Linked DNA regions of Saccharomyces cerevisiae S288C. The gene in region 1 interacts genetically with each later gene. Each region holds a gene or a part of one and is shown in the gene's direction. Other genes may lie near its edges.

Region 1 (3,100 bases):
GGCGAAAATGTCTATTATTAAAAAAATATTAAGTACTTTACGTGCTTTTTAATATCGTTTTTTATTGATTATGTATCTTTAATGGGTTATTGATTTTTTTTGTTTTCTTTTTATATAGTATATACGCTTGACGTTCCGCGCGATTGTTTGTTATTTATAGTGTCCTTCTTAATTAGATTTTTCGTCGGCGTTATTGTGTACTAAATACAGAGTATCAAGATCTTTGATCTCATTAGTGACTCTTAAGGAAGCGCCAATATTATAAAATGAAACTTGTTTACCCTCTTTCAATTTGCATAGTTGAAATTTGTCATTAGAACTTGAATTAGTTAGTGTGCTAGATTTCACGTTTAGCTGGATAGACAAATAGTCCATGGCCCTACCCACAGGCCACATTTTGTTAATGTATAATGGCATTCTTGTATCCTCCTTGGCTATATCCGTCTCATCACCATCCACCAAGTAACACCAAATGTAAATCCTATTTTGCATAGGAATCTTGGGGTCACCTTTAGCAATTTTCTTGAGATTAGCCAATTGAATTATCTTATTCGACGAGGAACCGAAATTCTTTTTTGATTTGTTATTGCTCTTTCTTTTCTCATTCCTTTGGAAGAACTTAAATATTTTGTCTAATGTCTTTGAGTTCAAAGTAGAGCTCACTTTGGCAGTGTTAGAACCTCTCAAAGGCTCTCTTGTTTCACTTACTCTCTGGATTCTAACACTGGCCCTCTCAGGTAACAGACTCTTGAAATATGCTTCATCGTTAGAACTTGAGCCATCCCGGCTTTTGCTAGGACTTTTTTCAGTTTTATGAACTTCTTCATGCTCTAGCAACCACCTACAGTGGTGATCTTCCTTAAGTCTATGGTTCGAGCAGAAATCTTCATTGCAAAACGAACAATGGAAAGGTAGGAAGTCTAGTTGTCTACAATATGCACAGTGCTTTCCTACATCCAACATTCCGGTTTCTTTTTCGATAGCCGCCGACATTCTTAAATATAGCAAAAATTAGTTGATGGTCCTTTTTTTTATATCAAAATTAATGCAAGCTCTTGCAGTAGATGTACACTACAATGTGCCTATAGCTCACTGTTGTCACACTTCCGCCCTAGCTCGAGTCCTTGCTTGTACAAGCTCTTATTACATCTTTATACTCATTTGTAGAACATGCTTTTGCCACCGAAAGGAGGGTGAGGCAGTTTTATGTATATACGAACGTCGCTGGCCACGAGGGGGGAACTTTTCTTTTTATCGGCATGAGATAAAGGGTAGATACGAAATTAGCTAGACATTTAAAATATGAAAGCAAGGAAATTACTAAACTTCGAGATGTTCTTTTCCTTAAACTTCTAGTTGACAGCTCAACATTGATGATAGGGCTTATTGTAGTACCTATTTTATTTGCAATAAAGGGCATAGTAGTTGGCGTGCAAAAGGTAAAGAAAAAGTTTGGAAAGCACTCAAACACAAAGGACCAAAAAGAAGACAAGGACGAAGATAAACGACAAAGTATTTCTCAAAGAAAACAGCATACAGAATGGCCAATAGAGGAGAACCGGATCCAAAGAAGAGCACCGAATCAATCTGCTCTCTGACTAAACCGCAGCTTTATTCATTATATGATGATGACGTCGTGAGATCGGAAGATAACGAAATTTACGAAGAATTGAAACGCTCTGTCTCTATAGATTCTACCAAATATAGTAGAGATCAAACTATTGATTCGACTTTTTACTTGGCCCATAAGGTTGGCGGCTCGCTGCCAAGGAACACAGTATCTTCTAATAATTTGGAAAGGATTTTATCAGCATCATCCATTCACGAAAACTTTCCGTCAAGAACCAGACAAACTCGTCAAAATATTCTTCATTACCTGCAAGCTGTATTAATTTTGTCATTGAGCGGTTTCGCATATCATGAACTGTCCAGAAACTTGCACGATAATCATCTCTTACATCCAGATTTTGCATCGAGACCCCTTCTACTGGGTGTCAAACTTTGTAACTGGCTATCCAATGGGGTTCTGCCAAACTGGTTAGGCTACGGTGTTGAAGGACTGTTATTTGGTTCTGTTGTACCAATTCTGGATAATATTTTTCAAACAGAGGTTGTTAAGAGCTCTGTCCACCATGACAGTTTGACCTCTGTTATTAGAAGTATCAATGCCATGTTGGGAGTCACATTTGGGATCAGGAAAATACAGTGGAACTCCTCTTTGCAGGCGGCAGGGGCATGGGGGCTTCTGAATATTATACTGTGGTTGTTTTTTGACGGCTCAATATCCATGTTAATGAGCTGCATCTGCATTGGGGTGGGTTGTTGTATCTCTTGCTACAAAGATATTATCGACGGTTCCCAATTTTTATATTTCATGGATTTTTATTTCCTTGGTTCTCTAATGTTTGGAAAACTAGGAAGATATCTATATTCTCATTAAAGTCGAAATTCTGACGAGTAAATATTATTAATTAGAAGTACAAGAAGATAACATCAGAATGGCTTATCGTTTATATATAACTAATTAACGTAAACACAGTCAGCCATATGGCTGTAACACTTGACATTTCGAGAAATCACATAATAAGCGTTAAATATAAGAGACCCTTCTCTTTCCCTAAAAAAATATAAAAAAGTACAGGTTGTCTATTTATCTAATGGGTGATTCAGTATACAAACTGGACGACGAAGAGCTGTGGTTCCCCACTGGCGTTGAACTTGTACTACCACCTCCAATAGTACCGTTATTAGACGATGGTGGTCCACTCGATATACTTCCCTCCTTTTGTATCAACGTCGCATTATCTACTACACCAGCGGTTGAGGCAGTTGACGGACAAGTGCTTATCCTTCTTTTTATTATATCTTCTCGTAGTTTGCTGGGATTTGTTAATGGCAGGTTATTCTTTCCATAGTTTATTGGATCATTGTTTTGAATGCCAGCTTTCTGCAAAGCGTAATCACCACTGTCGAAATATTTTCTTTTCTGCATGGTATGCTTAAAAATATCTTTCTTTGATGGCAGCTTTCCGTACATTTTGTATAGCTTCATTTCGTTGGGCGAGAATTTGCTGGTATCAATAGTTCCGCTTTCGCCGTT
Region 2 (3,760 bases), on another chromosome or scaffold:
TTCCTCAAACAAATCATATTATGGTGAAAACACACTATACTTACTGTCTTTCCAAGGTGTCAACGGGACTTTGGGTGGTAACTCTGTACGTGTTTCTTTAACCACTGGACCTGTCCACGATTTCACTTGGTCGCCAACTTCAAGGCAATTCGGTGTCATCGCTGGTTACATGCCAGCAACCATTTCCTTTTTTGACTTAAGAGGTAATGTTGTCCATTCATTACCTCAACAAGCCAAAAATACCATGCTTTTCTCTCCCTCTGGTCATTACATTCTTATCGCCGGGTTTGGTAATTTACAGGGCTCCGTGGAAATCCTAGATCGTCTCGACAAATTCAAGTGTGTGAGTAAATTTGACGCTACCAACACTTCTGTCTGCAAATGGTCACCGGGTGGAGAATTTATCATGACAGCTACCACTTCACCAAGATTGAGAGTGGATAACGGCGTTAAAATATGGCATGTATCAGGCTCTTTAGTATTTGTTAAAGAGTTCAAGGAGCTTTTGAAGGTAGACTGGAGGTCACCATGTAATTACAAAACTTTGGAAAACAAAGACGAAGCATTTTTCGAGAACCATATCATTAATAACTGGGAACCGCTACCTGATTCGACCACATCTTCACTTGATCCTAAAATATCCAATAAATCAGAATTGCAAATACATTCTAGCGTTCAAGAGTACATAAGTCAACACCCAAGCAGAGAAGCAAGCTCCAATGGAAACGGATCTAAGGCCAAAGCTGGAGGCGCTTATAAACCACCTCACGCAAGAAGAACAGGCGGTGGACGTATTGTCCCCGGAGTTCCTCCTGGTGCAGCAAAGAAGACCATCCCAGGGCTAGTTCCGGGCATGAGTGCCAACAAGGACGCCAACACCAAGAACAGGAGAAGAAGAGCCAATAAAAAGTCAAGTGAAACGTCACCTGATTCTACTCCGGCCCCATCTGCTCCTGCCTCCACAAATGCCCCCACAAACAATAAAGAAACTTCTCCAGAGGAGAAGAAAATAAGATCTTTACTAAAGAAATTAAGGGCTATTGAAACCTTGAAGGAAAGACAGGCCGTCGGTGACAAACTAGAAGATACGCAAGTTCTAAAAATTCAAACTGAAGAAAAAGTGTTGAAAGATTTGGAAAAGTTGGGTTGGAAGGATGAATAAACTAGAAGAAACTGATGTATCCATACAACTGTGTAAATATTAACAACGTCAAATAATACTACTTTGAATTGTTTTTTACTGTTTCCCAGGAGAATTACGCCAACCTCCCCCCTTTCTTTTTTTCCCTTGTTTTATTGTACTTTTCCACATATTTTTTTAACATCAAATAGTAATTGATACATACATAATTAGTGAGCATTTTCCTTATTTTTACGTCTCTTCTTGGCGGATTGCCACCAGCCGCATCTTACAATGTATGCCACGATACCGCCAGGCAATAAATGAATATGGAGTGTCACTTCGGCTCCGTAAGCCGGCGCTGCATCCGCCACCACAGTTTTTTTTAGCGTCGCTGTCGCCGCTTTGCCACAGAAAAAGAAAAAAAAAAAAGAAACGGCGCCGTGTAGGGTTTTGTATAACAGATCGGCCTAGCAGCCAGGAGATGGCACGGCGCCAACTGAAAAGTTAGACTGTGGAATTGCCGTTCACCACACTCGAGTGGCATCTAATAAACTGCCACAGTTGACTCAAGCGGTGCTACCTTCGCAGTTATTGCACACCATGGTAACACATAACACAGTCTTGCATTACAAATGTGGTTCCTCCTACTTGGCGGTGAATTTCTTGAGTCAGCCCGTTATTTTCATATGGTGATGTAAGATTACATACAGTATATATATATAAGGATGATTCTCACACAAACTTTTCCGCTGTTCATCATATTTTGTTTTTGGATTAGTTTCACATTCTGTAGAAATCTTTAAAGACAAGAGAAGAGAAAACAAAGGCGGAGCAATGTCGGAAGGAAGAACGTTTCTGTCACAGTTGAATGTCTTCAACAAGGAGAACTATCAATTTTCTTCTTCTACTACAAAAAAGGAAGTAAGTAACTCGACAGTGGATGCTGACAACGGTGCCTCCGATTTTGAGGCAGGCCAGCAATTTGCTACAGAATTGGACCAAGGTGAAAAGCAGTTAGGTATTTTGTCGTGTATTGGGCTTATCTGTAATAGAATGCTTGGTACCGGTGTTTTCGCCGTTTCCTCGACCATTTACACACTATGTGGGTCTGTGGGGCTTGCATTAATTATGTGGGCAGTTGGCGCCATTATTGCCATTTCTGGGTTATATGTATACATGGAATTCGGTACGGCTATACCGAAAAATGGTGGTGAAAAAAACTACCTGGAGGCTATTTTCAGGAAACCAAAATTCTTCATTACCTGTATGTATGCTGCGTATATTTTCTTCCTAGGTTGGGCTGCTGGTAATTCCATCAATACAGCTATTATGTTTTTAACTGCTGCTGATACTGAAGTGACCAAATGGAATCAAAGAGGTATTGGTGTGGCCGTCGTTTTTTTTGCATTCCTAATTAATTCTCTGAATGTCAAGATTGGTCTATATTTGCAAAACATTTTAGGTATTTTCAAGATTGGTATTGTCCTCTTCATTTCTATTACCGGTTGGGTTGCCCTTGGCGGTGGTCTCAAAGATGGTTATCAATCTCACAACTTTCGTAATGCTTTTGAAGGTACTGAAACCGCCACTGCTTATGGTATTGTTAACGCCTTATATAGTGTTATTTGGTCGTTTGTCGGTTACTCCAATGTTAACTATGCACTTGGTGAAGTTAAGAACCCTGTGAGAACTTTGAAGATTGCTGGTCCTACATCGATGGTCTTCTTGGCTATAATCTACATTTTTGTGAACATTGCTTACTTCGCTGTGGTTCCAAAAGATAAGTTAATTTCTTCAAAATTGATTTTAGCTGCTGACTTCTTCGATATTGTGTTTGGCGGCCAAGCCAAGAGAGCAGCAGCCGCACTGGTCGGGTTGAGTGCCTTAGGAAATGTTCTTTCTGTCATTTTTTCTCAGGGTAGAATTATTCAACAACTAGGACGTGAAGGTGTGTTGCCCTTTTCTAATTTCTTTGCCTCTTCTAAGCCATTCAACTCCCCAATGGTTGGTTTGTTTCAACATTTTATTGTTTGTACAGTAACCATTTTAGCCCCACCTCCAGGTGATGCATATTTGCTAGTCCAAAATTTAATTTCCTACCCAATGAATATTATTAATTTTGCCATTAGCGCGGGTTTGCTTTGGATATACTGGCAACGTAGACAAGGTAAAATTGAATGGAACCCACCAATTAAGGCCGGTGTTTTTGTTACGGGATTTTTCACATTATCCAATTTATACCTGATTATTGCTCCTTACGTTCCACCTTCAAATGGCGAGTCGGTGTATTCAAGCATGCCATACTGGATCCACTGTGTAATTGCTTGGGGTATTTTCTTCTTTGGTGGTGTTTACTACGTTGTTTGGGCCCAATTATTGCCAAGATGGGGCCACTACAAATTGGTTTCCAAGGATGTGCTTGGTGAAGATGGGTTCTGGAGAGTCAAAATTGCCAAAGTTTATGATGACACTATTGGCGATGTCGATACACAAGAAGACGGCGTTATTGAAACGAATATAATCGAACATTACAAAAGTGAACAAGAAAAATCGCTGTAACCAAAAAGGTACTTACCATCTCATCTCGATTCTTATAATCACGTATGAACATTCTTATAATTGCATTTTCTTTATACA

Evidence for each region. A genetic interaction does not mean that the proteins touch.
Region 2: mutations in NSG2 (region 1) and MUP1 together harm fitness more than expected from each alone (negative genetic interaction), as found in Saccharomyces cerevisiae (2 studies listed by BioGRID).

Annotation. Positions count from the first base shown.
Region 1 is NC_001146.8:340,409-343,508, reverse strand, and holds NSG2 (Nsg2p), read left to right. Parts: upstream 1-1,540; coding exon 1,541-2,440; downstream 2,441-3,100. Other genes in the region: CUZ1 (Cuz1p), read right to left, coding at 169-993; YNL155C-A (uncharacterized protein), read left to right, coding at 1,374-1,598; IGO1 (phosphatase regulator), read right to left, coding at 2,651-3,100. UniProt on the Saccharomyces cerevisiae protein: Stabilizes the HMG-CoA reductase HMG2 by preventing its HRD1-dependent degradation. Binds directly to the sterol-sensing domain (SSD)-containing transmembrane region of HMG2, promoting its folding to protect it from degradation.
Region 2 is NC_001139.9:597,460-601,219, forward strand, and holds MUP1 (Mup1p), read left to right. Parts: upstream 1-1,957; coding exon 1,958-3,682; downstream 3,683-3,760. Other genes in the region: YGR054W (translation initiation factor 2A), read left to right, coding at 1-1,162. UniProt on the Saccharomyces cerevisiae protein: High affinity permease for methionine.